Sus scrofa: one gene and its partners. The protein of the gene in region 1 purifies or fractionates together with the protein of each later gene. This does not show direct contact. Links are inferred from orthologs where the notes say so. Each region holds a gene or a part of one and is shown in the gene's direction. Other genes may lie near its edges.

Region 1 (10,178 bases):
TAGGAACCGGGTCCGCGGGTTGTGCGGTAAACCCAGGGCAGCCCAACCCGCACCAGCGAGAATTGCCCCCCCCCCCGCCGCCCTCCCTCTCGGCGGACTCAGATCAGCTGTAGGAGCCCAGAGCTGGCACCTGGACCCGGGGTGGGGGAGCCGGAGCCCGGGAGCAGACAGTCAAACCCGCAGGCCTGGGGGGGGCGGAGGAGGGGGCAGGCCTGGGGGGGGCGGAGGAGGGGGGCACACTCGCACCGAGCGGGGGGCGAGGAGGAAGCCCGCGCATGGGAGCGGTTTGGGAAATGTGGGGTTTGCCCGAGAGGAAGTTCGCCTTGAAGGCGCGTCCCCGGGCCCCCGTGACGGGCCCTCCTCCCGCAGCTGCCCTGGAAGTCGCTCACCAGCATCATCGAGTACTACTACATGTGGAAGACCACCGACAGATACGTGCAGCAGGTGGGCGCCGCCGCGGCTCCGTGGCCTGGGGGCCGCTCAGGGTGGCCAGGCAGAGGCGGGCGGCGTGGGGACCCACCTGCGGGTCCTTCTGACCCTCTGTTTTTTGTGTTTTAAGAAACGCTTGAAGGCAGCCGAAGCAGAGAGCAAGTTAAAGCAAGTTTACATCCCCAACTAGTAAGTGCGCCTCTAAGCACCATTGCCGGCTGTCCTTGGCCAGGCTGGGTGGGCCGGGGGAGGGGCACTGCCTGGCTCGAGACCAGGGGGGTCCGGGGGCGGCGGGCCCGGCCCTGGCTCTCCCTCAGCCTCCCAGCTGGCACAGGCGTCAGGACTCAAACCTGCTCAGCCCAGGGTTCACTGGGGCGGGTGGAGCTCGGCTGTAGACAGGAGCTGCTCTGGGACCCGAGGAGAGAAAGGCCACATAGGGGGCATGGGTCAGCGGCTCCCCCAGGGCCAGGCGGGTCCCGCGGTGCGAAGCTGGGCGCTCCCGTGACGGCTCCCTCTCTCCCTCCCCCAAGTAACAAGCCAAACCCGAACCAGATCAGCGTCAATAGCATCAAGGCAGGCGTGGTGAACGGCGGGGCGCCGGGCCAGAGCCCTGGGGCCGGCCGGGCCTGCGAGAGCTGTTACAGTAAGTGCCCCGCCCAGCACCCAGGGCACACCCCGCCCCTCAGCGCGGGGTGGGGGGGGCAGGAGGGGGGCCAGGGGGTGGGGGTGGGGCCTGGCCTGGGGGCGGGGGCCCACCCTGCCTGGGGAAAGAAGCCCTCTCGGAGCGGGTGCCGGGGTGCCCGGGCCCGGGGCGGGCAGGGTGGCGGGCGGGCGACAGCTGTGTAATGCTCTCTTGCCATCACTGGTTCTGCTTAAGAATCCGTCTATTTCCAACTTTGTTGTCCGTAGCCACCCAGTCTTACCAGTGGTATTCTTGGGGTCCCCCTAACATGCAGTGTCGTCTCTGCGCGTCTTGTTGGACATATTGGAAGAAATATGGTGGCTTGAAAATGCCAACCCGGTTAGATGGAGAGAGGCCAGGACCCAACCGCAGTAACATGGTGAGTGCCCACCCCCCGCCCCCCGTGCCCCGCGGCCTGGCCCGCGGTCACGGCGCTGTGTTGGGGCGGCCTGCCCCCTTCCGCAGAGCCCCCACGGCATCCCAGCCCGGAGCAGCGGGAGCCCCAAGTTTGCCATGAAGACGCGACAGGCTTTCTACCTGCACACCACCAAGCTCACGCGGATCGCCCGGCGCCTGTGCCGAGAGATCCTGCGCCCGTGGCACGCCGCCCGGCACCCCTACATGCCCATCAACAGCGCGGCCATCAAGGCCGAGTGTGAGTGTCCGCCCGTGGGTCACGGTCTCTGGGGGGAGGAGATGCCAGCGGGGCGGGAGGAGGAGCTCTGACCCGGACCCCTCACGCCCACGGCCCCCACAGGTACGGCCCGGCTGCCCGAAGCCGCCCAGAGCCCGCTGGTGCTGAAGCAGGCCGTGCGGAAGCCCCTGGAAGCTGTGCTGCGGTACCTCGGTGAGCTGCCCTCCCACCCCAGGGCCCGGCCGGCCGTCTCCCTCCCTGCTCCCCCCTTGCCCCTGAAGTCCCCGGGCTTCCCCATGCCCACCCCGCGCCCCCAGGGCAGGCTCCCGGCTGGCTGGGAGGTGTGCCCAGCTCTGCAGCAGCCTCTGAGAGAGGGCCCTCGTGGCCTGGGGCTCCTGAGCCCCTCTGCTGGCTCGGCCAGGGGCTTGGGCGGGGCGGGGCGGCCCGCTTTGCCGGGCTTGGCCGTGTTCGCGAGTCAGTTCCTCCTGCTGCCATGGCGGCCTTCCCTCTCGAAGGACATTCCAGAACCGTGAGCCAAGCGTGCTCACGGCAGATACAAGTGGCCCTGACACCATTTGCTGTCTGGGTCCTGAGGCTGACCTTGTCCCGACCTGTGGGAGGGGGTGACCTGTGTCCCCTGAGAGCCCCTGAGGGCTGGGGAGCCTTGGTAGCTGTGACCTGTGGCTGCCAGGACAGCCCTGGGGGCTTGTCCTTGCCCAGCCGGCCGAGCCGTTGATGCAGTATCTGGCTGGTGGCCAGCCCTGTGCCATGAGTGCCGTTGACCCCTTCGTGGGCCTGCTTATTTATGGGTGCCTAGAGCCCCACTGGCTGGGGCTGAGACCGAGGAAATCGGCGCCAGGGGCTGTCCTTGCTCAGGATGCCCAGGGCCCTGGTCGCCATGGACCCCCCGTGTGAACTGGGGCCCTCGGCCAGGGCCTGGCGTCACAGCTGATGACCCACAGCGTGCCTGCCGCGTTGTCCCCCACAGAGACCCATCCCCGGCCCCCAAAGCCCGACCCCGTGAAGAACGTGTCGGGTGTGCTCAGCGGCCTGGCCCCCGCCAAGTCGGCCCCCGTCATCAACAACGGCTCCCCCACCATCCTAGGCAAGAGGAGCTACGAGCAGCACAACGGGGTGGACGGTGAGTCAGGGGGCTTGACCAGCTCAGCCCGTGGTCCCGGGGCTCCCGGCCCTGGACCCGCCCCACCCATGCCCACTGACTGTGTGTTCTCTCCTCTCTCCTGCCGTCGGGCGCTGCCAGGCAACGTGAAGAAGCGCCTCTTGATGCCCAGTAGGGGTAAGGCCCGGGGCGCCGCTGGCGTGGTTGCTCTGCCGGCCCTCTGCGCGGAGCCTGTGTGTGCTGTGCTCACGCATGCGCGGCAGCCGGCTCAGGGCACGTCCAAGGGCAGTCCACGCGGGCTGGGCCGCGCCCTGCTGCCCCCCTTCTCCCGATTCACCTGTCACTCGGCAGAGATCTGAGCGCTGGCCTCTGGCTCACGGGCCACCCCTCCTTCCTGGCCCAGTGCCCGGTCAGTGGACTGTCCTTGCTCGGGTGGCCCTGGTGCCCCCGCTGCCTGCCTGCACTGTCTGCCTTCGCGTTGTGACCGCCCGCATGCCATCAGCCTCAGCTTGCGTGGCCGCCTGCGCTGTGCTTGCAACCTCAGCCTATGTCCCTGCCCAGTGGGGGGTTCTGGGACCCTGGTTCCTTGGGGGCAGATGAGACACATTTGTGGTCCAGCTGGCATGGCTTGGTGGGGGTTTACAAGACCTGGGTGGACTCCTAGGCCAGGGCCCCACAGGGAGGCACAGCCAGGGCTGGGGGACCCAGAGCTGAGGCAACAGTGCCCTTCCAGGTGGGTGGGTGGGTGGGGGTGCCATCGGGAGCCAGGTGGGCAGTGTCCTCTGGTGTGGGGCGCCCCTAGCTTGCCCAGAGCCCTGCTTTTGCCCCCTTAGCTGGGGAAGGCGTGTCTGGGCACGGGCTGCCCCAGCATGGGCGCCGGGAGGGGGTCGCAGCGGCAGCGAGGGATGTGTCCGGCGCCCGCGAGGGTCAGCCTACAGTAGGATCCCCTGCGGACGGTGAGCAGGGAGCCAAGCCCAGGGGGCGGACCAGGAAATGCACCTGGCGCTCCTCCTGCCTGTCACTCGTGATGGGAAGGTCAGGTCCCATGTGGGCACTGTGCCTTGTGGACATGCCAAGGGCCCCCACCCAAGCTCAGGACTGGGAGCGCTGCCGGCCCTGGGAAACTGGCCCAGGTGGTCGGCCAGGCTGGGTTATCCTGGCGCCTGTGGGGGGTGGGTGCCAGCCATGGGGACTTGGGAGGTGGCAGCAGGCAGTGGCCATCTCCAGTCCAGCCCTGTCCTCTGGGTGCTCCCTTTCTCGGCTGTGTCTGGGAGCCTGGCAGGTGTGTTCTGTGGGGTCAGCCGGTGGTGCCAGTGCCAGGTTCTGCCAGCGCACTTGTCTGGATGCAGGCTCTTGCCTGCCCTGCTGCCTCATCTACGACCCCCTTGGTGGGGACGAGGGGCCCCCAGGGCAGGCACCAGCACGCCTGGTCCCCAGCCGCGTCCTCCCTGTCGTCCCCTGTAGCCGGGGCTGCCAAGGTGCTAGGGCTCAGCAGTAGGGGCTGACCTGCCCTGCTGCCCCCACGACAGGCCCCTAGGGATGGTCCTCACGTCCCATAAGAGAGGCCGCCGCAGGCAGGCGCCCGCCAGCAGGCACAGTGGGGCCGCAGTGTGCAAGGCTGCTCATCAGCCGGGGGAGAAAGTCCATTTCCCTCTGCAGCTTTTCCCAAACCGATGTGTTTGCACATCTGCTTCAGCCCCGAGTGCAGGTCCTGGGAGCCCTGGGAGGCGGCCCCGGCTGGCCTTGGGGTGCTGCGGGCGCGGGCCAGCGGCAGGGCCTAACTCGGCCTCCACCCCGGCCGCCGCGGCACACGCGCCCGCTCCCGGTTAACTGCGCTCTCTTTCCTCCGCCGCTGTCCCTCTGCTAGGCACCTACCTGGGTAAGTAGCCGGGCCGCAGGGCTGCCGGCGGTGCCAGGCCCTCCCCCCGCCTGCGGGGCGGGGGCTGAGTTAGCGCGCGCGGTTGGTGGGGAGGGCGGCCGCTTGGCTCTTGTTCTGCTCGTCCAGGGACAAACCTCACACGACCACGTGCACACACCTGTTGCACACGGACTCTCGTGACCACGCAGCCCTCACACGCCGGCTCACGACCACGCACACGCGCTCCCCACACACAGACACCAACTCATTACCCCGCACACGCCTTCCTCACAGGCCGACTCAATCTGAGTGTGTTTGGGAGTTGGGGTCTTAGGGACCGGTTCACGGTGTGGACTCTGACTCAGGACAGCACCTTTCCTGAGTCGCTGGCATGGCTTGTGGCTCCAGCCCCCAGGCCACAGGGTGGAAGTGCAGGTGCCCTGGCCGGAGCCTGGCCAGCTGGCAGCTCCGCCTCCCGGGGTCCAGCAGGGCTGCCGGGGCCCTGGCCGCCCTGCAGAGGGCCTCTCGGTGCTCTATTTACAGCTGTGCCAAGCGTCGCCTGGTTACTGTGTAAACCAGGTTCCATCTGTCCCGCCCAGGCAAAGCCAGGGAGCGAGCTGAGATCCGAGACTCCTGGCTCCCACCCAGAGTCCCGGCTGGTGGCCCTCAGAGCGCCAGAGAGGGGCCCGGGCAAGGCCAGGACCCAGGGGAGCAGAGGCCCCCTGGGTGTGGGCTGTGGCTTTGGGGGGATGTGGCCCAGGTTTCCTGCTGCTCAGCTGTGGGTCCTGGGGAGGAGGTGGGCGTGGGGGGCGGTGGCCCAGGGCTCAGCTCCGGCCTTCCTCCCCTCAGGTCTGGCGAACCACGGGCAGACCAGGCACATGGTAAGAGGAACCCACCTTCACACGCTCCGCCGGCAGCCCCGCCAGGCGCTGCGCAGGAGCTCGCCCCCCCCCCCCCCGCCTCCGCGGGACCAGAGGTGGGGTGCGCCTTGGGGTCCCCACGGCCCTCCGAGGGTCCCCTGCCCGCCGGAGTGGCCGAGTCAGCCCCCGGGGTTTCAGGGCTGACCGCTCCCGCTTCCCCCCACAGGGACCAAGCCGGAACCTCCTGCTCAACGGGAAGGCGTACCCCACCAAGGTGCGCCTCATCCGCGGGGGCTCCCTGCCCCCCGTCAAGCGGCGGCGGATGAACTGGATCGACGCCCCCGACGACGTCTTCTACATGGCCACCGAGGAGACCAGGTGCGGCCCGCGGGGGCGGGGCGGGGCGGGGGCACCGCGTCCCCGTCGGTCCCGTCGGTCCCCGTCACCCGCGGCTCCGCTCACAGGAAGATCCGCAAGCTGCTCTCGTCCTCGGAGACCAAGCGCGCGGCCCGCCGGCCCTACAAGCCCATCGCCCTGCGCCAGAGCCAGGCCCTGCCGCTGCGGCCGCCGCCGCCCGCGCCCGTCAACGACGAGCCCATCGTCATCGAGGACTAGGCGCCGCCGCCGCCGCCCCCTCGCGGCTGCTCGGACCACAGGCCGCGCCCCCGCCGCCGCCCGCCCGCCCGCCCGCCGCCCGCCGCCCGCCGCCCGGTTTTGGTAGTGCCCCTGCCCGCCCTCACCTGCCGAGAAACTGCGCCTCGCCTGGGAGAGCCCGGGAGCCGGCGCGGTCCCTCGCCCGGAGCGCCCGCCCGCCCGCCCAGGGGTCGTTTTTTTAGCTTTGTGTTTACTTTTTGGCCGGAGCGGAGCCGAGGAGCCGCCCCGAGTGCCTGCTCCCCGCTGGGCCTCGTGGGCCGGCCAGGAGTTCTGTTGTGTTCTGTTGAAGGTGCCATTTTAAATTTTATTTTTATTACTTTTTTTGTAGATGAACTTAAGCTCTGTAACTTACACCCGGAATGTTAGGGTCGGCGTGGCCAGCGGCCGGCCGAGCTGCCTGGTGGGGTGGCCCCTTGTCTTTTCAAGTAATTTTCATATTAAAAAAAACAAAGAAAAAAAAACTCATAAAAACAAAAAACCAGCTAACCCTTCCCGTGTCTTTTGTCCCTGGTCCGTCTCCCTCCCTTGGGCCCACCAGCCCCGACTCTCAAGGGCCCGCTGGGCACGTGGCCCTTGCTGTGCCGGCCTCCAGGCTGGGCTGGGCCTCCTGGTGCTCCCCGACCCTCTGCCCCGTGTCCCTGGCTCCTGCATCCCTCCCCTGGGGCAGGAAAGAGTCCTGCCAAGGCTCAGGGCTCTCATGGGGGAGCTGAGGTCCCCTCTGTCTGTCCAGGGTTGCGGGGGTGGGGTGGGGGTGGGGGTCTGGACCTGGCCTGGGACCGCCTGGCAGGTGCCGGGCTCCCATCGTGGCAGCCGGCTGGCCAGCCTGCTCCTGGCAGAGCCCTGCCTCAGCTGTCTGAGGATTTCTGCCAGGAGCCATGGGGCCACCCCAGCAGGTGTGGAGTTTCCGTTGGCGAATTTGCTCAGATTTCAGCAAGTCCGTTCTCAGAAATCCTACCTCGGGCTGGCCCTCTGCACACACCTTCGCGAGCTCGCGGAGCAGGGGCAGCCGCTGGGGGGAATCCAAGAGTGCCGCCTCTCAGGCTGCGCCGCCTCCACCACCGCAGAGAGGGGTCAGCTCGGCCCTCCTGGAGGGGCTCCCTCCTCCCCAAGCTCTGCCGCCTGCTGCTCCAGCCCTGCCGAAGTGTAGACAACTCAGCTGGGGAGCTAAAATAGAAACCACTCTGCTCCCTCACCGGAGGCAGATAAGGGGTGGCAGGCCAGGGTGTCAGAGAAGTGCCTGTGGCACCCCCGGCCATTTCTAATCTGCCGTTCTGGCGCCACCCCCGCCCGTGCCCCACTGCCCTAGGACTTGCTGCGGTGTCTGCGGGGGGCTGGGAGACCAGGCTGGTGACCTTGAGAAAGACATTAGCTTCCTCCGGGGCCTTCTCCAGACCTGGGGTCTGAGCCTGCGGACCCCCCAGGCCCGAGTGAGCTAGCTCTCATCCTGACACAGCTCTCTGTCCCAGAAACAGACAAGCCCCGAGGAGAGTCGGGCTCCCTGCCCGCATCGCAGCACCTGGGAGGTCTGAGCCCGAGCGTAGGGATTGGGTGGGGATCGGGCACCGGCTGGCAGGGACCAGGGTCCTGGGCACCCCAACATACGTTTGCCAGCTTTGCCCTGTTCTCGTGGACCCGGCAGGGGGCTGAAGCCATCCTCCCCAGCCCCCAGGGCCAAGGGTAACTCAGGTGGGCAAGAGTCCCCACAAGGGCCTCAGCCTGGGGCCCCCTCCCTGCCTGGACCTCCCGCCCCCCGCCCCCCGCCCCTGGACCCTGCAGGAAAGAAAGTAAGTCTGGGCTCCTCTGTGTAGCCGGGATGACAGGTGATCCGCAGGGCACCATGCTGCTGTGGCCCCAGGGGAGGGGCCTCCGCCGCACCTGGCCACCTGGCCTGGCCACCTTGGGGCCCTGCCTGTTTCCCTCAAACTCTGCTGTCCTCGCTGGGAGCTGCCCGGCCTGTGCCTGCCTCGCCCTCCAGTCCTCAGTGGCCTCGGAGGCAGATGCTGCTGCTCTGCCCCTTCCCAATCCAGGCCCAGAACAGCTGGGGGACGGCACTGCCCCACTCCCCTCCCTGCCCCTGGGACACCCAGCCAGGGCTCCATGCCCATTCACTCTCCAAGCAGGGCTGGGGCCCACAAGTAGATTCCTTCCCAGGAAACACCTGTGCCCCACCAGCCTGCCCTCCAGAGCAGTCCTGCAAACTTCGGGGGCTGGGCGGAGTCAGGGAGGCCGATGCCCCTGGGGGTCCCCAGGGGCTCCCAAGCTGCCGAGGAGGACCTGGTAACGGATGCCAAACGGGGGCAGAGAGACCATGAATTATTCAGAGACACCTGACGCCCAACCTGAGCTAGGAGCAGGCTGTGAATGCTGACCCACACTGGCCACCTTGTCCAGGGAGCTCCAGCAGGCCTCCCCTCCGGCTCCACCCTGACTGGCAGGGGGCCAGAGCTGGAGTGTAGAGGGAGGGGGGCCGGTCAGGCTGGTCAGTCAGGCTTGGGGGCCACATGTTTCTGGGTTGTTGACCTCCCTTGGGAATGGCAGTGGCTGAAGGGTGTGCGTGCAGGCCCAGGGGTGCCTCAGGGAGCAGGGCCAGGGTCGGGCTGCCATGAGAGGGCTGAGACGCTGGCTCACTCACTCAACCACCCCGTGAACATGCTGGGGCTAGGGGCCAGGAGCAGGTGCCAGGGCCACCAGGCAGAGGAAATGGGGAGTGGGGGGCAGACCTCAGTGTCTGGCACAGAGCCTCAGACACAGGGCAACGGGTGAGGCTCGGCTGGGGATGGAGGCCCCGAAAAGAGCCTATGAACGAGCAGAGCCCCTGGGAAGTGGGACAGGTCCTCCAGGTCCCCACGTCCTGGGGGTTAGGGCGAGGTTCTGTATGGCTCAAGGGCGGAGACAGGGAGAGCCAGCCGGGAGCTGTCAGCCAGGTCCCTGTCGACCGGAGGACTGTGGACCCCTGGGGGGGGGGACTCCGAGTGCCGGCAGACCCCTGGCTCCCCAGCCTTCCAGAAAGATGCTTTGGGACCAGGCTGGAGGTCAGAGGCCCTGGGTCCTAAGCCAGGTCTGGAGAAGAGATGCCCGAGGCAGGTGTCTTGAGGAGTGGGGCAGAATGCAGAAGGTGTGCACCTGGGCATCTGGGAAGAGGGCACTCCAGGAGCGCCCCATCTCCTCCCCCTCCTCCCCTCCCAGTCCTACCGCCACCTTCCCCTCGGGTTCCCTTGCTGCCAGCATCCCCTCCCCCACCCTCTTCCTGCAGTTTCTCTCAGGATGTTTTGTTTGCCTTGGGCCGCCCCATGGCGTATGGAGCTCCGGGCCAGGGATCAGATCTGAGCCAGCCGCAGTCGCAACCTAAGCCGCAGCTGCGGCAACACCGGGTCCTTAACCTACTGGGCCGACGGGGGGGCGGCGGAGGGGGTGGCGGGGGAATGGAACTTGCGTCGCGGCTCTCCCTAGACGCCCTACCCCGTTGGGCCTCAGCGGGAACTCCCTCTCGCGCTGTTTTTGGAAGTGGCGGGCGCCCAATCCTCCACCCGCCGAGACTTCAGCACACTCACAGCCTTAGGTGGGGTCGGTGGGGGTCTGAACCCGGTGGCGCCCCCATCCAGAATCCCGCTCCTATCCAAGCGCGCGGGTTACTATAGAAACCAAGAAACAAAGGGAAGCGGGCGGCGGCGCGAGGCAGGGTGGGGTAGGGTCCTCCGGGGACCCAAGCGCCAGGATCAGGCAGGACCGGCCAGTCCGCCGTTGCCGTCAGTCTGCGTGTCGGGACGCCGCCCTTCCGGACAGAGGCCAGCTGGCCAGGACTCCCCCGGTCAAGGGGGCCCGCGGACTCTCGGCCCCACCCCGCCGTCCCGCTGGCGGCCCCCACGTTGTCATGGAAACGGGCGAGGAGCGGGCGGGCCTGGGTAGAGGGCACCTCGCGCGCGCGGCCGGGGGAGGCCGAG
Region 2 (10,243 bases), on another chromosome or scaffold:
GCGATGTGCCTGTGGGCAGCCCGCCCCTCAGCAGCCCCTGGGGACAGGGGACGGGATGGCCCATTGTAGGTGCCGGCCTTGGATCAGCACCGCGGACAGCGGCGGCGCGGGTAGCAAGCGCGGGGCTGAGGGACCCTGGGGGACTGATGGGCCGGGGGCGCGGCTGGTGGCCGGGTCCGCGGTCCTGGGGCGGGGCCAGGCGTCGGTGGCCGTGACTGGAGACTGTTACTGAGGGCGGCCCGGGCAGTAAGCAGTCTAGAGCCAAGGTGCCGGCGCGCTGCCCGGGCGTGGTGGCTCCATCTCCCGCAGCTGGGGGCACCACTGCTCTTCCTCCCCCGCGTTTCCAGGCCTCTTTCCGCCCCAGAGCTCGCGGACAGGCACGCGGCTCTTGACGTCAAAACCCTGTGACGTCAAGGATGTCCCTGTGGAGAGGCACTTCCGGCGGCGGCGGGGGTGGGTGGATGGAGGTCGATGGGGGTGGGGCGGGGCTGTCCGGCCAAGACCCCGCCCCCGCCTGGTCCTGAGAGGACAGCTCCTAGCGCACAGAGGCGGGAAGTCGGGGGCGCAGAGGGACCAGCCCGACGGGGCGCGGCGGGGGCGCCCACGCTGAATGAGGGGAAGGGGGTCGGGAGAGAGCTGTGGCCGGGCAGGGGGCAGGTGGGCGTCTGTTCTTCGCCGGCGCCCTAGCTCAGCAGACCCGGGCCAGCGAGGCTGAGTCACCGCGCTGCGGGGTGGGGAGGAGGGGGCGCGTCTCCTGGAGCGCCAGCACCTTCGTCCCACTTTCCTGGGAGGATGGCGCAGGAGCTCCCAGGAAAAGCCGCGGGGTCTCTGAGGTCCGTCCTCTGTTCGATGCTCCTCCGAAGTGGCTGCGTCTCCATCTGGGCTCAGGCAGGTGCTGCTCAGGGTTCTGTGTACGCCTCTGGCTCTGGCTCCAGCAGCTGCTAAGGGACCCACGTCCCCTCCACCTTGTCCCCAACCCCACCCGTAGGGGCCCTCCAACCTTCAGCCTGCCGGTCTCCTCCTTGCCCTCCAGTCTATGTCCGTGCATCGGTCCATCTGTCGCCCGTCGGTCGATCAGTCCCACTTACCTGTCGGCTGTGTTGCGCCCGCGCCCGCTCGCCTCCCGCAGCCAGGCTGGCGCGGCGGCTTTTATAGGCGCGCGTAGTACTCGTGCGGCGGCTCATTCATGCGGCCGCGGCTCCTACACACTGACGCGTTGCCGACGTCAGCAGGGAATTTAGGAAACGGGAAGAGGGGCTATTTATAGTGGCGAGGCGGGGGGGTGGGGGTGGGGACCGAGGCGACGGTGAGCTGGGAGGGAGAGGAGGGAGCGCGGAAGCAGGAACCGGGTGGGGGAGCCCGCGCCCCCCGTAGCGGTCTATAAGGGGTTAACTTTCCGGAACTGCGGGCTGGGGGCCGGCGGGGGAACTCTGCGGGGAGGGGGGATTGTTTATTCGCTCTGGGACACTTGAGGGCGCAACCCCACCCCCGCCTGGCCTTCCAAGGTCCTCATCCAGTAGCCCCTATTCCCACTCCTCAGTTCCTGGACTCGACGGCCCTGTGACGTCACAAGATAACCCTCAGCGGCCTTATACGCCGCAAGCCCACTGCGGAGTGGTCATCGGGGAGGGGGGAGCAAGAGAGGAAACTGGACCTTCAGAGGGGCCTAGGGCAGCATTTAGTTCCTCAAAGTCGGGGACATGAGGAAGAGGAGCCCATGGGTCTGGAAGACTGTAGAAGGAGGCTGAACCTGGAAGGAAAGGCCCAGTGTGGGTCCAGGTACCAGAAAGGATCTGGAGACCCAAGGGAAGGCAGAAAAGTTGAGAGGGTGGCTTGGACTCCCCAGAAAAGAGCAAGCGGGTCCTCTGTGGGGGATTTGGGGAAAAGGTGGCAGGAGAAAGGGGAGACTGGAAGAGGAAGCCTCAGCAGGTGGAGGAGAGGAAAGCTGGTCCACAGGGCCAGTCTCAGAGCCTGGCGTGCAGCAAACTGCGTTTAGGATCCATTTGTGGACTGATAGACAGTGGCAGAACTCATATGGGGGTGATAATGAGCAAGGAGACCAAGGGCTCAGCAGCTTAGCAGAGAAGAGTCTCCAGGGGGTACCAGGGCAGAGACCACTTGCCGGAGGAGTTCCTGAAGGTTAGAGTTCCCGTCGTGGCTCAGCAGTTAACGAACACGACTAGCATCCATGAGGACTCAGGTTCAATCCCTGGCCTTGCTCAGTGGGTTAAGGATCATGCGTTGCTGTGAGCTGTGGTGTAGGCTGCAAACACGGCTTGGGTACTGAGTTTCTGTGACTGTGGTGTAGGCCAGCAGTTACAGTTGTGATTTGACCCTTAGCTTGGGAACCTCCATATGCCACGGGTGAGACCCTAAAAAGACCAAAAAAAAAAAAAAAAAAGTTCCCAGAGGTCAGAATTGGCAGCAAGAGCCCATGCCGTGGGGGGGGCGGGCATCGTTCTGGACAAGAGCCAGGGAAAAGAATGATCCTGGCCCAGCCTAGCTCCATCAATTGAGCAATTGAAGAAAGTTTTAAACGGGGAAGGGGAGTGCGTTCAGAGAAAGGAGCTAGATCAGGGTGGGGGGTGGGTGGGAAGGGTCCAACACCAGGCCAGGGCAGTGGCAATAGGGAGGGAAGGAAAGGTCAAGAAGTGTGAAGTCCACAGGAGGGCAGCTAGGCTGGGGCAGTTCTGATGTAAAGACAGCTTGAGGGGAGGGGCTGGGGCAGTGAATTAACCCGGGGAATAGGAATCTGGGAACTGTTGAAGAAAATAGCTTTGGGCACAGGGGACCCTGGGGTGGGGCCTCAGTGGACAGACTCCACTAAACAAGAGAGGGGGTTGAGTGGACCCTCGCAGGGCTAGGATCTGGCCCCATCAGGGAGATAAAAGATTACAGCAGAAATGGGATCAAAGAGGTCCTGCATACCCTTTGGGGTCTAGCCTCCTAGAATTCCATTTTTCACTTCCATCCTTTGTCCAGCTGCTTCTCTTCTCCAGTAATGCCTTCCTGCTGGGGAGAGAACTTCTATTCATCCACAGAAGCCCAGATCTAAGAGCACTTCTCAGGCACCTTCCTGCCTCCCAGCAGTTCTCCATACACTTTCCACCTCAGTGCATAGCACATCCCTCCGGCAAAATGTCTAGGTCCGGAGTTCCCATTGTGGCTCATCCGAAACGAATTTGACTAGTATCCTTGAGGACGCAGGTTCCATCCCTGGCCTCACTCAGTGGGTTAAGGATCTGGTGTTGCTGTGAGCTGTGGTGTAGGCTGGCAGCTACCGCTCCAGTTGGAACCCTAGCCTGGGAAGCTCCGTATGCCGCGGGTGGGGCCCTAAAAAGACAAAAAAAAAAAAGAGAGAGATGTCGAGGTCCATCTCCCGTAGAAGCTGACAGCTCCGGAGCCCATTTTCATTCCTGGAAACTCATACTTCCTTAGGACCCCGGAGCAGGGTTGTGGGGGAGTCGGAGCAGAGGACTGGGATAAGATAGACCCAGAACAAGGAGTGGAAACAGGGTGAGGGCAGACTCAGGAAGCAGTGGGGGTCAAAATAACCTTTGGGGACCAGGAGCCGCCGCCTGGTCCCAAGGCCATGTAGTTGCCTGTATAGGAAAGGGAGCCTCTGGGGGGCGCCCGAGACCTTGGTGTCTGTCTGGGACTGCGAGCGACCGCGCGGGCGGCTCTTCAATGAATGACTCAGCCACTACCTCTGGCGGGGGCGTGGGGGCGGAGGGCAGCGCGGGGGTGCGGCGAGCGCCGTCCCCACCGCCCAGCGGTCCTGCACGGTTGCTAAGCTCTCCAAGGCCTCGGAGAGACGCGATCTGGGCGAACCTCATCGGTTACTATGGTAACTCTGCGCCCCATCTTCTCGTGCGCCGCGGCTGAGGGAGGCACAGCCAATCAAAAGCTGCAGGCTTTCTCGGAACCCACTCCCACCCTCCACGTGTGGGCGGGGGTCAGGAGGTGCGGGGAGGAGGCGGAGCGTGGGTTGAGGAGATCCACTCAGCCACGCAGGCGTTGGCTTCAGGCCTGGCGTGATGGCGGGGCGGCGCGGTACACTTCCGGAGTAGCTGTGCCACTGCCCGCTCACCAGTGCAGGGGTCCCCTCCCTCCTAGAAGGGGCGTCACCTGCAGGAAATGGGCCTTCACTTGGGGGTGCAGGACCCTGCGGGGGATCCTGGGCTCCAGGCCCTGCTGTAAGACCGTTGCGCGTACCTCAAAAATGGCTCGCACAGGGTATCTGGGAGCTTAGGTCTCTTCTGCGGGACCACCCAAGAGGCTCTGTCCAGCCGTTCCCCTGTCACACATCCTGGGGTCCCTCCAGAGATATGCAAGTTCAGCGTGCACTGTTTGGGTACCACTTCTGCCCAGGTCACAGAGGGCTCTACATGGCAGCCCCCTGAGTATGCCAGAAAGCCGGGACTTCGTAAGGGGGCAGGTGTGTATGCAAACATGAGCGCCTTCGAGTGTCAATGCCTAGAGAGGATCTGGGTGCAGATGGGTTTATTCTGTGCATACCATACCCACAGGGTTGAGTGAGGGAGGGTGTGTTGAGGGGGTGGGTGGGTACAAACGGACAGTCCCACCCAGGAATATCTAGGGGGTACCCTACTATCTTGTCTATCTTTTTCTTCCTTAGGATTTTCGGAACCTCTCTTACACCATCTACTTTCACCAGAGTCTCCTCCTTGTGGGCAAGACTTCTCTGAATTGGGGCAATTTGAGAATTTAGAAATATGTACATGGGATCATTCAGCTCAAAATCCCGAGGCTTGTGGGGCTCGCAGGTCCGAGGCTTGGGTCTCCAGATGGGCACATCTGGGAGGCTGAACCTGCGAACAGCCCCCCCCGCCCCCGCCTCCGCCAGCCCTGCATCTGCGATCCTCCAGCCCAGGTGCGCAGGAGGGAGGTCGCGGCTGTGCCGCGCCAAGTCTCGCCGCGAGGTGGCGCCATAGCTGCAGCGGCGCCTGCCGGCCCGGGCCGCTCCAGATAAGAGTGTGCGGAAAGAGCAGCGGGGCTGAGACGCGACCAGGACGCGGGGAGGACGGACCAGCAGGACAGACCGACCGGGGGCCCGGAGGGCGGAGGGCAGCGCAGCGCAGCCACGTCCCCCCTGGATCCGCCGGCAGCCGGGCCCGGGGCTTCCGACATGCCCCCCAGGTGGGTCCTCGGGCTGGGGACCGGGAGGGACAGGGGACCCGGACACGCCCGGTCCTCGCGCGCTGGCCGCCTCGGGCGCATCCTCCGGCGCGGGCGCCCCAACGCGGCTGGCGTTCAGGGCTCCGGGTGTCGCTCCTAGAGAACTCAGGACCGCCGGGACGCTACTCTGCGCCGGGTTCATGGCGGGGTCAGCGGCCCGGGCCCGGCTCTGCCCGCACATGGGTTGCAGAGGCGAGGGGAAGGGAAGGGGAGCTGGCGGGCGGGGCTGGCAGGGGCGCTGCCCTGGCACAGCGCGGCGCCTGGCAGCGGGGCGGGTGGGGCGCCGGCAAGGAGCTGCCACCGCCGCCGGGAGGGAAGCCCGGCTGGGCTGCGGCCTCAGGTAACGGGCCGCGAGGCCCTGCGGGCCAGGCGGGGAGAAGGGTCGGGCGGGCAGCGGACGGCCGGGGAGTTCTGGGCTCGGTTCAGGCCCGGCAGCGCCTGGCTCTGCCGAAATTGGGGGCCGAGAGGAAAAGCTGCGACCGAGGCACGGGGCCTGGCGCGCTCCTCCCGGCCAGCCCGAAGTTGGGAAACTTTTCCCCAAGTTTGGGGCGGCGGAGTTCCCGTGGAGAAGGGGCCGAGGGGAGCTGCGGAGGGAGGCGCCGGGCCGGCGAATGCAGAGAGGAGGCCGAGGCCAGGGCCGGGACGCGGGTGGGGCGCAGCCAGGGTCAGGGCCGCAGCCGGCTGTGCGCCGTGCCCGCCCGGGGCGCTGCCCCCTCCCTCCCCTGGGAGCTGCGTGGCTCCCCCCTCCCCCCACCTGCTTCCTGCCTCAGCCTCCTGCCCCGATATAACGCCCTCCCCGCGCCGGGCCGGCCTTCGTGCTCTGCCCGCCACGGCAGCCGCTGCCTCCGCTCCCCGCGCGCCGGCCGCCGCCCGGGGCCCAACGGAGAGGGCCTGACAGCCCCCGGCCAGGGCGGCGCCACGACGGGCACCGCGCTCCCCTCCTACGGACCACTTCCCCAACTGGGGCAACTTCTCCCGAGGCGGGAGGCGCTTTTTTACGCGGCTCCCTTATATCCCACTTGGGCAAACTTCTCGGCCTTGAATGACTTTTCCTGAAGCGGACATTTTCCTCAAATCGGGTAACTGTTTCCCAAAGGGTGACTTCGCACCAACAGCTTTCTCCTCAGAAGCCCCCAGAACCCAGGCCGTGCGCCTGGCGGCATCCGGGCCCGGGGGCGCAGGCCAGCCTGGCCTCTTCTCCACCAGCCAGTCTCGACTCCTTCTCCTGGTCCGGGCCGGCCGGCCCAGGCTCCCACTCCCAGAGGCCGCGGATCCTCCGCCAGCGCCCAGGCCGCGGTGCTCGATGCCCCTGCCCAGCTGAGGGGAAGGGGAAGTGGAGGGGAGAAGCGCCGGGCTGGGTGCAGGCGGCGAGGGCTGGCTGCGGCTCTGACCCGGCCGGTGTGTGTCCCTGCAGGAGATTGTGCTGGGCAGACGATGCTGGACACGATGGAGGCTCCCGGCCACTCGAGGCAGCTGCTGCTGCAGCTCAACAACCAGCGCACCAAGGGCTTCTTGTGCGACGTGATCATCGTGGTGCAGAACGCCCTCTTCCGCGCGCACAAGAATGTGCTGGCGGCCAGCAGCGCCTACCTCAAGTCCCTGGTGGTGCATGACAACCTGCTCAACCTGGATCATGACATGGTGAGCCCGGCCGTGTTCCGCCTGGTGCTGGACTTCATCTACACCGGCCGTCTGGCTGACGGCGCAGAGGCCGCGGCGGCGGCGGCGGTGGCTCCGGGGGCCGAGCCGAGCCTGGGCGCCGTGCTGGCCGCCGCCAGCTACCTGCAAATCCCCGACCTCGTGGCGCTGTGCAAGAAGCGCCTCAAGCGCCACGGCAAGTACTGCCACCTGCGGGGCGGCGGCGGCGGCGGCGGCGGCTACGCGCCCTACGGGAGGCCGGGCCGGGGCCTGCGGGCCGCCACGCCCGTCATCCAGACCTGCTACTCGTCCCCGGCCGGGCCTCCGCCGCCGCCCACCGCCGAGCCGCCGTCGGGCCCCGAGGCCGCGGTGAACACGCACTGCGCCGAGCTGTACGCCTCGGGCCCCGGCCCGGCCGCCGCGCTGTGCGCCCCCGAGCGCCGCTGCTCCCCGCTCTGTGGCCTGGACCTGTCCAAGAAAAGCCCGCCGGGCTCCGCGCCCCCCGAGCGGCCGCCGGGCGAGCGCGAACTGCCCCCGCGCCCAGACAGCCCTCCCAGCGCCGGCCCCGCAGCCTACAAGGAGCCGCCGCTCGCCCTTCCACCGCTGCCGCCGCTGCCCTTCCAGAAGCTGGAGGAGGCCGGACCGCCTCCGGACCCGTTCCGCGGCAGTGGCAGCCCGGGACCCGAGCCCCCCGGCCGCCCCGACGGGCCCAGCCTCCTCTATCGCTGGATGAAGCACGAGCCAGGCCTGGGCAGCTACGGCGACGACCTGGGCCGCGAGCGCGGCTCCCCCAGCGAGCGTTGCGAGGAGCGCGGCGGGGACCCGGCCGCCTCGCCCGGGGGGCCCCCGCTCGGCCTGGCGCCGCCGCCGCGTTACCCCGGCAGCCTGGACGGGCCTGGCGCAGGCGGCGACGGCGACGACTACAAGAGCAGCAGCGAGGAGACGGGCAGCAGCGAGGACCCGAGCCCGCCCGCGGGCCACCTCGAGGGCTACCCGTGCCCGCACCTGGCCTACGGCGAGCCCGAGAGCTTCGGTGACAACCTGTACGTGTGCATCCCTTGCGGAAAGGGCTTCCCCAGCTCGGAGCAGCTGAACGCGCACGTGGAGGCGCACGTGGAGGAGGAGGAGGCGGCGCTGTACGGCAGGGCCGAAGCGGCCGAGGTGGCTGCGGGGGCCGCCGGCCTCGGGCCCCCTTTTGGAGGCAGTGGGGACAAAGTCGCGGGGGCTCCGGGGGGCTTGGGTGAGCTGCTGCGGCCGTACCGCTGCGCGTCGTGCGACAAAAGCTACAAAGACCCGGCCACGCTACGGCAGCACGAGAAGACGCACTGGCTGACCCGGCCCTATCCGTGCACCATCTGCGGGAAGAAGTTCACGCAGCGCGGGACCATGACGCGCCACATGCGCAGCCACCTGGGCCTCAAGCCCTTCGCGTGCGACGCGTGCGGCATGCGCTTCACGCGTCAGTACCGCCTCACCGAGCACATGCGCATCCACTCCGGCGAGAAGCCCTACGAATGCCAGGTGTGCGGTGGCAAGTTCGCCCAGCAACGCAACCTCATCAGCCACATGAAAATGCACGCCGTGGGTGGCGCGGCGGGAGCGGCCGGGGCGCTGGCGGGCCTGGGGGCGCTCCCCGGCGTCCCCGGCCCCGACGGCAAGGGCAAGCTCGACTTCCCCGAGGGCGTCTTTGCGGTGGCGCGCCTCACGGCTGAACAGCTGAGCCTGAAGCAGCAGGACAAGGCGGCCGCGGCCGAGCTGCTGGCCCAGACCACGCACTTCCTGCACGACCCGAAGGTGGCGCTCGAGAGCCTCTACCCGCTCGCCAAGTTCACAGCGGAGCTGGGCCTCAGCCCCGACAAGGCGGCGGAGGTACTGAGCCAGGGCGCGCACCTGGCCGCCGGCCCCGACGGCCGGACCATCGACCGTTTCTCCCCCACCTAGAGCGCCTCTCGTCCGCCCGCCTTGTCGCCGCCGCCGCCGCCGCCGCCGCGCGGCCCGGGTCCGCGCCCCCAGGGAGCGGCGGCGGCGGCCACCAGCAGGCAGGCAGGCAGGCAGGCAGGCAGGCAGGCACCCCGCGCCCGGACGACTCTCGTAGCAGCGGCAGCGTCGCCGCAGGGGCGACGGCCACACCTCGCTGCGGCCTCACCTGGCCTCACTGCTTTGTGCCTTAGCCCGGGGTGGGGGTGGGGGGAAACCCCGGGACGGGGGTGGGATGGGGGACGGGAGATTTATATTTTTGATATCAGCTTTGACCAAAGGAGACCCCTGGCCCTTCTCCGCCTCTTCCTGTGGTTCGTTGGCCCCCTCCCTCGGCTCCGTGCTGCTCTTGGGGGGAGGGGTGTCACTGTTGGGGCGCTCCCAGCCCTACCTCCGGCCCTTGCGACTACACCCATTCTCACTGTGAATCTCCCTGCTGGGGTCGGAGCGTCGGGCAGAGCTGGGGAGCGGGGAGGGGACTGAGCCGGCCGGAGGGCCCCCCCGCCCCCGCCCCCCGCCCGCCCCGGGACTGATAATGTGAAGTTCCTCATTTTGCACAAGTGGCACTAGCCCCAGGGCCAACCCTTCCCTCCCTCTGGAGTCAGAGGGCTGAGGCGGCCCTGGCCTACCCAGTCTCCCACCACTCTCGCGGTGGTCCCTCCTCCCTTCCCTGGGGCCCCGGACCATATTTATTGCATGCGCCCCGGGTGGCCCCCCACCCCGAGCCCAGGCTGGGCTGGGCTGGAACGTGGTCTCTTTAGCTCCCTCCTCCTCGTTTGTATTATTTCCTACCTTGTACACAGGCTCTTCCAGAGCCGCTTCCATTTTCTATACTCGAACCAAACAGCAATAAAGCAGTAACCAAGGACCCCGGACCTAGCAGCTCTCTTCGCCCTGCACAAGGAGCTGGGGAAGAGGGGGGCGGCGGCACTGGGATGGGTGCAGGGGCCAGAAGCAGCGCTCTCATACAGGTGGGGAGGCTCGGACCTTCCCTCCCCAGTCCCAGAGACAGATCAGCAAGAGGTCAGGCATGTTCATAACTAAAAATTTATTAAGGAAACAAGAGCAGTGCTGCCAATGGGACAGAAAAGAGATGGGGTTCCCCCCCCCGCCCCGCGCTCCGCCCGACCCGGTCATCAGCCCTCATCCAGGGGAGAGGATCTCAAAGGAGAAGCTGGGAAGCCTGTATCCCAAAGAGCCCCCAGTCTTCTGAGGCCCTGGGGGACTTACACTCCCCCCAAGTCAGTCACTGGCCTCGGCTCTCCTGCACAGTTCCCCCTCCTTCTGGCGTAATCTTGGGCTTCAGGGAGAGCACAGCCTTGCTTCCAGCCTCTGCATGGACAGAGAGGAGGCTCTGGGGCAGTCCCCCACTGGTCCCATCGAAATTTACTCTGGGCTCCTCCTCCAAACGCTAACCTCCCCGAAGTTC
Region 3 (10,149 bases), on another chromosome or scaffold:
AAGCAAGGGAAAGGGCAAAATGAGATCAAAAGAATGGCTGGAAACTGGAGGAAGAAAAGGATAAGAATGAAACAGGGTCCCACGGAGCTACTTGCCCTCCATCCTTTGCTAGCATTACTCAACTGGCAAGTTTTATTTTATGACTTCTCTGACCAAATCGCTCGATGAGAAAGCTACTTTTGGGCTCCTTTGCAGCCTTCCATCTGATTCCTGGTATCACTTTTAAGATCAACACTGGGGTGCAGTGGGAAAGCATGGAGCAGAAAGTCAGATGACAATGCGCGTGTAACCCCCTACCTCTTTCTTTTTCTCAGTCCACGTTACTTTTCTCTTTCATGGTACCTCAGTTTCTTCCACTTTATCAGTGTTGGAGATCATGGAGGAAGGAAAATATACTGAAACGGGAGAAAAGAGAAAATTTCACAATCCTCAGACTTAACTCTTTCCCCTGTAATCTAAAAAGCTGTTCCATTTACCCCTAAATTAATTTCCCAAGTCAGATAAATTTTATATTCAAGTAATTGGGGGAAGGAAGGGAAAAGTAAAGGAGAAAAGAGGATAAAATTTACAACAATTTTAAATCGCTGAAAAGGCTGGGCAAAGGGGAGAATCAAACATGGACTCCTTTGAAAAAAAACTCAATCATCGTATCTATTCATATCTCTCCCCCAAAAGTCACTAGGATTTCTATCACTTTTTTAAAGAAAGGAAAAAAAATCCAGTACCGCTTCTCACTTAAAAGATACGTATACAATTAAATGCGTTTTGACTTCAATGAGGTATGTAGAAACAGAGTTATATATAAACATATATTTCATCTTTTTTCTTTTCAATGCCTGAAGGGGAAAAAAAAAACCTTCACATCAAACCACTCCCTTCTGAAGTATTCAGAAAAAAAAAAAAAAGCTTTTCTTTAAGAGAAGGGAGGTGGGGAGGAAGAGACTAGTAAAGAAAAGAAAAAAATTTAAATCTAGTTGGACTAGTATCTAACTAGTTAACCTTTAACAATTTATGCTGATGTCAGACTGAGCATGAGTACTGATTAATGCCCCCCCTCAAATATTTTTTTATAAGGGGGGAGTTAGTCACAGCAGCCATTTTTGTTTTATGCAGAAATCCTTCATGCCCCCCCAACGCACACACTCACATACTCAGTACACAAGGAAAATATCTCTATTAATCTGTGCACTAATCAGTTATGAAAAAAAGGGAGAAATTTGTGGGTTTCTGGGTAGAGGCTTGGAGATGGGGGTGTAACAGGGAGGAGAATGGGGGGGTGAAAAATGAAATATTAAGCCAGCCATTTTGTTTTAAAAGGGGATTTTTCCCCCCTCTCCCTTTCTTCATGGAGGGGGTGGCGGTGCTGGAGGGGGGGTTGTTTTAAAAATAATTTCCAGGCGGCCATCTTAGTGCCTCAGCTCTGAGAAATATTTCTGAGCGCCCCCCTCAGAATTTAAATATATTTAAAGCAACGGAGAGGGGGGTAGAGAGAAGTCGAAAACTTTTATATATATATATATATATATTTTAATCCCCCTCTCTTGTTCTCTCGGGAGGAAGGAGAGAAAGAAAAAAAAAAGTCCTCAATTTTTTCCAAGAAAATTTTTGGGGGTGGTTTGGCCCCCCTCGTCAGACGGCGGCCCCGAGGGGGGTTCGGAGGGGGTGGCCCGGGGTTTTGGGGGCTGGGGGAGGCGGTGAGGAGGAGGAGGAGGAGGACGCCGCCGCCGAGGAGGAGGAGGAGGAGGAGGAGGAGGAGGAGGAGGTGGTGGTGGTAGCGGTGGGGGAGGCGGGCGGGCGGTGGGTGGGGGGGTGGTGGGGGGCCAGAGCCACAGGATGGCTTCCCCTCTGAGGGACGAGGAGGAGGAGGAGGAGGAGATGGTGGTGTCGGAGGAGGAAGAAGAGGAGGAAGAAGAGGGCGACGAGGAGGAGGAGGAGGTGGAGGCGGCCGACGAGGACTACGAGGAGGACGACGACGAGGGAGTACTCGGGCGCGGGCCGGGCCACGATCGGGGCCGCGACCGCCACAGCCCCCCCGGCTGCCACCTCTTCCCGCCACCGCCGCCGCCGCCCCCGCCGCCGCCGCCGCCGCCCCCGCCGCCAGGTAAGCGGCCGCCGACTCCCCCCAAACCCAAGCGGGAGCCGCGGGCGCCCGAAGCCGGGCGGGGGCGAGGCACCCACCGCGCGGCCGAGCCGAGGCGAATCCGGGGCGCGGAGCGCCGTCTCGGGCCCGTCGCCCGGCGCCGGTCCCGGCGGTCCGAGCGGTCCAGGCGGGCGGCGGTGGCGGCCGCCGGGCCAGGCCTCCTCCCCTCCCCCGCCGCACCCCTCCGCCGCCGCCGCCGCCGCCGCCGCCGCCGCCGCCGCCACCGCCGCCCGGGCTGAAGAGCGCCGGGCGCGAGCTGCGCGCGCGGACCGGGCCACTCGGTCGCGGCTTTCGGGGGAGGAGGAGGAGGAGATTTTTTTTTTTTTTATCCTCGGCGGGGAGGGGGTAGGCAGGAAACGTCCAAGGCGAAGCCAGGGCCCCCTCCCTGGCCGAGCGAGGGACCGCGGAGACCCTGGCGGCCGGACGGCGGCGTGGGGGAGGGGCGCGTGGGGGAGGGGCGGCCGCGCGGGCGCCCCTGGGGCTCCGGCCCCGGTGGGGTTGGACCGAGGTGAAGTGGGGTTTCCGCGCGAGGAGCGGACCGCGGCCCTAACCCCCACCCCACCCTTCGTCAGGAGTTGGGAAGGCCGGGGGAGCGGCTGGGGAGGGGGCGGGTGTCCCTCGGACCCCCCCCCACACCTGCGGGGACTTCGGTGCCCGCCAACTCTGGGGCGTGCGGTGGCACGTGGGGGAGGGGTCGTGTGAATGTTTGCGGGCGGCTGACGACTAGGGGCAGGTGGTGGCCACACTCCACGCAGACCACTTCCTGGAATGAGACTGGCTCCTGCCCCCTCTTCCCGGTTCGGCTCGTACTAGGGAGAGCAGTCACTGAGGATTGGGGAGCAAGAGGGGAGTGTCTGGGAGAACAGATGCCCCCAACCCCACCCCCTTTCTCTCTCCTCTGGGCTCTTTTGTGTCAAGTGCGCCGCCCCCCCCCATGACCCCGTCAGTCTGGGGTGGCCGAGCTGCCCAGCTGTGACTCTCACGTGGCTGCCATTCACTGTCACTCACTCTCCCGCTGAAACCACCCACACCCTGACCACGTCGGGGGGCGTGAACTGCCCACCCAGCTGTTCTGCAGCTTGACCGTCACTCGGCATCCCTCCCCGGGGTTGACAAGTCGCCCGCACTGTCTGGGCAGTTCCGCCCGCGCTGGAGGGCCTGACGGCTGCCTCGCGTCCAGGGGCCCCATTCTGGCTACCTTCCCGGTGGAGTGTTGCTAGTCTTTTTTAGGATAGACTAGGTGAGCATCTTTCGGGTGTTCACACCCCCAGGCCTCTGGGTGCCATGCAGCGCAAATGCACCAAACTTCAAAACATCTGACATCAGGTTCTTGGTAAAACTGTCATATTGATCTGGGTGGCTCATGTGGCAAATGTTCCTGTCTAGTTGAGACGGCCTTTGAGGGAGCGGGGGGTGCTTTCTTGGTGGCGAGGAGGGGGATGCCTGTCTGATGGAAACAGATAAGTCCACTCCTACCCCCACTCTGGCCCCTAGGCTTGTCTGAAAAAGGGAAAAGTTTTTAAAAAGTTGCCCAGAGAGCCCACTGATTTTGCAGGGGGGAAAAGGGATAAAGAATTGAGGGCAAGGGGTTGCCTGGAGCACGGCAGAGGTGCTAAAAAGAGAAAGGGTGTCAGGTGAAGTTAAGGGGCTGGCTATTCTCACCTGTGTGTATTCCGAACCTGGAACGTGGCGTCTGGGGGGCTTTGACCCTGGATTTGGGTGTGGGAGAGGGGGAGCATGAAGGGATCTGAGGTCGAGATGGGTCTTTGTGTCAGTACTCCCTCCCCCTTCCCCTCCGCTTTCTAAACAACGTCGAATGTTTTTAAAATTGTGCGTTGGAAATGGAAACCCACCTCCTCTCTCTCCCAGGGCAATTTTATGTCCCTCTCAGCCCTCCAAGTCAAACGGGGGACCCGGATACACCCCCTCAGATGACTTTCTGAGGTAAAACTTCAGGAAAATATTTTCGGTCTGCCCATTATTTCTGTCTACAGAAGCGTGGGCAAAATAACCCTCCTCTGAGGCAAATGTATTCAGGCTGCCCTCCCTCGTCCTTCTCTAGGAGATGAATTTATCCGTGTTAGAGGTTTCTATTGTTTTTTTTTTTTTTCATTCCGACTGCTTTGATTCTCACCATTTTGTTTTACATTCTTACCCAAGACCAATTTTATCCCTTCCCCCTCTCCAGGCTCCTTACATTGTTAGACGTTTAAAATAATAGCGCTCGTGCAGATGGGGGAAGGGAGCAGGAAGCCAAAAACTCATTTCTTCTCCCTCCCCCTTCTGGCAAGTCTAGAGAAATAATATAACATAATATATAGATGTGATTCCTTGGGGGTGGGGGTGGGGAATGCGTGTGGGTGGTGCGGAAAATTCTGGTAGTTTCTTTGCAAAAGGTCTGAAAATACAAACCCACCCCCTGCAGGCACTACGCATGTGCAGCCGACCTATTATGGTGGTTCGTTGTGGGGGAGGGAGAGGAATTTGAGAAAAAATAAATATATGTGTGAGAGATTGATGGTGAGATTAGAAGAAGAGAGGGGCGGGCGGGAGGCGAGGCTTTCGGCCGGGCTCCTCCTGCTTTCTGGGCTGCCAGGCTCCGCCCGCCCTCCTCGCCGCCCTCCTCCCTCGCCGTCTTCCCGAGATCCGAGCCGGGATGTGGGAGCGTCTGGGCTCCGGGCCAGCATTGAGTGGCTGGTGAGACAGAGGTTGGGACTTAGATTTGCTTTCTTGCCCTCCCCTTCCTCGCCGTCTCCCTTGCCTCTCCGCGCCGCCGCCGCCTGCCCAGCCTCGGGAACCTCCTGCCGGGCGGCGGGGGGCGCGCGGCGGGGGTGGGGGGGAGTTAACTGGCTGTGAGGTCCCAGGGCTTGTGCCCCCCCCCCCCGCGGGCGGAGGCGGGGCCATTTCCCTGATCCTTAGCCAGTTGGCCTGCCCTTGCCACTGCCCCGGCAGCCTCCATTTCCATGTTCTTATTAACCGAAGTCCCCGGGGTTAGGGAGCGCTGGCTGCTGGGCACCGGCGTTTTACTGACTTCCTCCTGCAGGCCCCACTCAGTGCCCGGGCTGCCCTCACGCGCCCCCCCACCCCCACCCCAGTCTTAGAGTGTCTCCCTGCTGGGGAGGGCCCAGGACTAGGAGAAGCAGCACTGAAGGAAGGAGGTGCCAGGATTCTGAGGCAATGGAAACCGAGGCCTCCGGTGTTAATTGTGGCTAATTTTCCCTTGGCTGGTGTGGGAGGAAGGATTGTGTGTCCCAGAGCAAGGGGCTGGGCCAGGCCCAGGCTTTCCTCTCCTGCACAGCTGCCTCTGCCTGAGTAAGACAGGTCTGGCTGGTTAGTCTGGTGCCTGCTGGAGGAGGGAGGCCAAGCAGGGCCTCATGTCTGGGTGGCATCCATCAGCGTCTTCCTCCTGGTGGAGTTATGCTCTGTCGCCTAAGCCACCACAGACTGGCAGGGGTCATGGAGAATGAGGTGGGGGGACATCTGGGAAGAAGCAGCCCCAGCCTCTCTGACAGAAACATCTGGAGAGAAAGCCAGGGCCCTAGCCCTGCGGGAAGCAGGTACAGGCTGTCTTCAGGGTTTGTGCTCCTACGTGTGTGTGTGTGTGTGTGGTGTGTGTGTGTGTGTGTGAGGCTTCAGCATTTGAGCATGTGCGTGCCGTGGGTGGGGTCCAGTATCTTTGTTTGGGTCTCCCACACTCTTGACATAGGAACGGGTCAGAATGTCTGGGACTAAATTTGAAGACAAGGGGTGAGACCAGAGGACAAAGGGTAGGGCCCCTGAGTTCTCAGGGATGTGAAAATAGATTTGAAGCGGATTCCAGGCTGCTTGGGAGGAGGAGGAATGTTTAGGTAATTGTGGAGCTCTTCTCCTATGGGGTGACGGTGGTGATGCAGGAGCCAGACCCCGCCATCCTGTGGGCAAGAAGTGGGCATGACTGGCTGAGGATTTCTTTTCCTCCAGGGCTGTGCTGGGGTGACAGGAGATTTGGTGACTCTCTGAGGAATTATAAATAGAGGCCTCCCTCCTCACAAAAAGCATGTCAGGGCCCCAGGGTGTTAGCGTGAGAATCCAGGTGTCCACCTTTGGCTCTGCCTTCTCAGCATCTGGCTTAGGGAGCTGCCAGCTTGTGTCTCCCCACTCCAAGTGCTGGGGTCAGGCCAGGCCAGCAGCTGGGCATGGCTTCCCCAGTTCCTGGGCAGGATGCCAGCTGGCTAAGTGAGGGGGAAGGCAGGAGGAGCCCTGGCGGCGACTAAAAGGACCTGCCACAGTCAGAGCCCGTGGCCTAGAGCCTGGTCCCTTGTTAGTAGGAGGGGAGAGGAGGGAGTGGTTTGGCTGCTCTTCCCTTCTGACCCCTGACCTCCCATTCAGAATCCGAGCATCCCAGAGTACTCGAAACACTCGGGTGCATCCAGCGAAGGGCGGCAGGATTTGGAAGAGTTAATGCTGGGAGTTCCTAGAGAGTGAGAACCTAGGAGGTGAGGCAGTGGAGGGGCCGCAGAGCCTGGGAACATAGAGACTTAAGTTTTCTGGTGCCCTCTGCTCCAAAGATAAAGATGACATTCGGCTGCTGCCTTCAGCATTGGGTGTGAAGAAGAGAAAACGAGGACCCAAGAAGCAGAAGGAGAACAAGCCAGGGAAACCCCGAAAACGCAAGAAGCTTGTAAGTGTGCAGGACTCCTGTCTCTACAGCTAGGCCCGGGGACCCATTTGCAGAGGCCTGCGCTTCCTCTGGTCCTGATTACCAGGGGGGGATCCTGAAGTCGGGAAGGCCTGACCCCCTCTACGCAGCCCCCTCAGCTGGGCTCTGGCACCCTAGCCTCCCTCACTGCATCCTAGTGGGGAGCCCTGTGGGCCCCGTGACTGGCCTTGGAGGAGAGAGGAGCAGGTGAAAGCCCAGGCTCCGGCAGGAGACTGCATGAATTCCGAGCCCCGTAGTCCTCTGTCTTCTCGAGCAGTTCGCTTGGCTCTCTGTGCCTCGGTTTCCTCATCTGCAAAAAGTGGGTAGAAATAGATAAGTTACTATCTCATGGGGTCGTTGTGAGGTTTGAAAGAGACAGCACACGTTACGTGCTTAGAAAAGTTTCTGGCACATGGTAGGGCTAAAGAAATTCTATTTTTATTTCTCTCCCTTAGGACAGCGAGGAGGAATTTGGCTCTGAGCGAGATGAGTACCGGGAGAAGTCGGAGAGTGGAGGCAGTGAATATGGAACCGGACCCGGTCGGAAACGGAGAAGGAAGCACCGAGAAAAAAAGGAGAAAAAGACAAAGCGGCGGAAAAAAGGGGAGGGAGATGGAGGGCAAAAGGTGAGTAGATTTAGGGCGTGAGGGGAGAATTAGGATCATTGACAGGTGGAGGCGGAGGAGGGAAAGCCCTGAGCGAGGGGACGAGCAGATGCTAAGTGGAAAGTCTAGTTTCCCCTGGGGAGGAGGGGAGCCGGCTGGGAAGGGGGCAGGGGCAGAAAGCCTCGGGAGGCTGCTGGGTGCCCCTGCTGGGTGCCTGGGTGTGTAGAGGAGCATGTGGGGGTCCAGGACTGGGGCTGGAGAGGCGCCCTCCTCACGGAAGCCCGGTCTCTCCAGCAGGTGGAGCAGAAGTCGTCAGCAACCCTGCTTCTGACCTGGGGCCTGGAGGACGTGGAGCATGTGTTCTCCGAAGAGGACTACCACACTCTCACCAACTACAAAGCCTTCAGCCAGTTCATGAGGTGCGGTAGGACTGGGGAGTCCCTGCGAGCAGACACATTTAATAGGGGGAGGCCCTGGATCCCTCTGGAACCTGGTGGAAGATAAGAAACTGCTCTCCAGAGAAATTCACAGCATGTACACATCAAATTCCGCATGTCATCTCAGGAAATTCCTGGGCTCCTGAGGATCCAAGGACTCCAGTCAGGAACCCTTCACTGGGGGGGGGGGGGGGGGACACAGTTCCACTGCCAGGTTAGAAAACTGTAGTGACAGACTCAGGGAGGACTGATGGCCTCCTGCTCCAGCAGTTTCCCCTGGCTGACTTCTGTCTAGACTGGAGTGGAGAGAGAACATTCGTGTCCCCCAGTGTCCTTTGCTCAGGGATCTAGCCATCTGTCCCTTCCTTAGACACCAGCAGTGATGGAGGAGGCATTGCTGACAGTGGGACCTGAGCGTCAGCGCTCCTGAAGTAGAGTAGAGCACAGCACAGATGCCTTTTGAGGAAGCAGGCACTTCAGCAGAGCAGTTTCATGCTCTGGAGGCAGCCTACTGGGGTTCAGGTCCTGATGGCATCTGGTTCCACTCACTTCTTGGATCTTTAGTTTCCGCATCTGTAAAATAGGCACACCCAGAGGACGCACCTCATGGGATCTTGTGGGGATTTGATGGGATAATGGTTGAAAGCCCAGTATGCCCAGTGCCTGGCCCCCAGCAGTGTTAGTCCCTGGAGACTGTCGTTAGTCCTGTTGTCTCACTGCTTCATCACTAAAGACAGTGCTTCCGTCTGCACCAGGGTCACTCATGTCCCCGCAAGGGCTTAACACCCCACTGCAGAGCAGAAGCAGCGTGGCCTGTCAGACTCCAGCTGCGGAGATGCTTCATCAGGGCCTGTGGAACTCAGCAAAGTGCAGGGAATCATAGCAACTCCTAGACGTATCATGAGGACAAAATAAGATATTATGTATGTGGAAGTGTTTTAGAAACTGTGGAGCAGTTGTCAAAAGTAAAGCATTTTTGGAATTCTCTTGTGGTGCAACGGGTTAAGGACTCAGCATGATCACTGCAATGGCTCCGGTCGCTGCTTTGGTGCAGGTTCGATGCCTGGCCTGGGCACTTCCATGTGCTGCAGACAAGGCCCAAAAAACAAGTAAAGCATTTTTATTAATCCCATTTTTTTCCTTTTTAATTTTCTGTGCATTTAAATTTTATTTTGCCTTTTTTTTTTGGCCACTCCGCAGCATATGGTGTTCCCCGGGCAAGGAATCAGATCCGAGCTATAGTCACCACCTAAGCTGCATCTGCGGCAACAGCACATCCTTAACCCTGTGCCAGGCCAGGGATCGAACCTGTGTGCCAGTGCTCCCAAGACACCACCTGTAACTGTTGTGACACAGTGGGAACTCCAATTTTGCCTCTTTCTTTCCTTTTCTTTTCTTTTTTAGGGCCGCACCTGTGGCATATGGAGGTTCCCAGGCTAGGGGTCAAATCAGAACTGCAGCTGGCAGCCTTCGCCACAGCCACAGCAACTCGGGATCCAAGCTGAGTCTGGGACCTACACCACAGCACATGGCAACGCCTGGTCCCTGAACCACTGAGCGAGGCCAGGGATCGAACCCGTGTCCTCATGCATACTAGTCGGGTTCATTACCACTGAGCCACAGTGGGAACTCCCTTGTCTTTTTCTTTTTTTTCTTTTTTTTTTTTTTTTTTTTTGTCTTTTGTTGTTGTTGTTGTTGCTATTTCTTGGGCCGCTCCCGCGGCATATGGAGGTTCCCAGGCCAGGGGTTGAATCGGAGCTGTAGCCACCGGCCTACGCCAGAGCCACAGCAACGCGGGATCCGAGCCGCGTCTGCAACCTACACCACAGCTCATGGCAACGCCGGATCCTTAACCCACTGAGCAAGGGCAGGGACCGAACCCGCAACCTCATGGTTCCTAGTCGGATTCGTTCACCACTGCGCCACGACGGGAACTCCTCTTTTTCTTTATTCATGCTTTTTTTTTTAACTTTTTTCCTTTTCTTTTTAAAGTTTTAATTTATTTATTATAAAATTGATGTTTATTTTTTGGTCACCCCGGTTGAGGCTGGGGATCAGACCCGTGACAACACTGGTCCTTAACCTGCTGTACCACCAGGGAACTCCCAAATTGCTCTTCTTCTTGACAGGACATGTTTTCACCACACAGGAATCCTAGCTTGTACATAGACTTAATAGAAGAGGAGAAAAGACACTTTCTCAGGCCATCTGTGAAGGGTCTGAGTCTCCTGCTTCTATATTCACAGGCCCCTGATTGCTAAGAAGAATCCTAAGATCCCAATGTCTAAG

What was found.
Region 2: the proteins of MTA1 (region 1) and HIC1 purify together in Homo sapiens (affinity purification with western blotting; 3 studies listed by BioGRID). This does not show direct contact. The link is inferred for Sus scrofa from reciprocal best matches to the Homo sapiens genes MTA1 and HIC1.
Region 3: the proteins of MTA1 (region 1) and CHD3 purify together in Homo sapiens (affinity purification with western blotting; 7 studies listed by BioGRID and IntAct, with this or other methods). This does not show direct contact. The link is inferred for Sus scrofa from reciprocal best matches to the Homo sapiens genes MTA1 and CHD3.

What each region holds. Positions count from the first base shown.
Region 1 is NW_018084979.1:3,489,023-3,499,200, forward strand, and holds the end of MTA1 (metastasis-associated protein MTA1), read left to right. Parts: intron 1-369; coding exon 370-444; intron 445-559; coding exon 560-618; intron 619-959; coding exon 960-1,072; intron 1,073-1,338; coding exon 1,339-1,490; intron 1,491-1,576; coding exon 1,577-1,766; intron 1,767-1,868; coding exon 1,869-1,958; intron 1,959-2,733; coding exon 2,734-2,886; intron 2,887-3,006; coding exon 3,007-3,042; intron 3,043-4,732; coding exon 4,733-4,744; intron 4,745-5,572; coding exon 5,573-5,604; intron 5,605-5,809; coding exon 5,810-5,961; intron 5,962-6,047; coding exon 6,048-6,198; 3' UTR 6,199-6,720; downstream 6,721-10,178. UniProt on the Homo sapiens protein: Transcriptional coregulator which can act as both a transcriptional corepressor and coactivator. Acts as a component of the histone deacetylase NuRD complex which participates in the remodeling of chromatin.
Region 2 is NC_010454.4:48,162,858-48,173,100, forward strand, and holds HIC1 (hypermethylated in cancer 1 protein), read left to right. Parts: upstream 1-5,173; 5' UTR 5,174-6,241; coding exon 6,242-6,278; intron 6,279-6,613; coding exon 6,614-8,778; 3' UTR 8,779-9,683; downstream 9,684-10,243. UniProt on the Homo sapiens protein: Transcriptional repressor. Recognizes and binds to the consensus sequence '5-[CG]NG[CG]GGGCA[CA]CC-3'. May act as a tumor suppressor. Involved in development of head, face, limbs and ventral body wall.
Region 3 is NC_010454.4:53,133,962-53,144,110, forward strand, and holds the start of CHD3 (chromodomain-helicase-DNA-binding protein 3), read left to right. Parts: upstream 1-5,079; 5' UTR 5,080-5,603; coding exon 5,604-5,697; intron 5,698-6,012; exon of another isoform or gene 6,013-6,027; coding exon of another isoform or gene 6,028-6,127; intron 6,128-6,687; coding exon 6,688-6,800; intron 6,801-7,273; coding exon 7,274-7,444; intron 7,445-7,717; coding exon 7,718-7,842; intron 7,843-10,106; coding exon 10,107-10,149.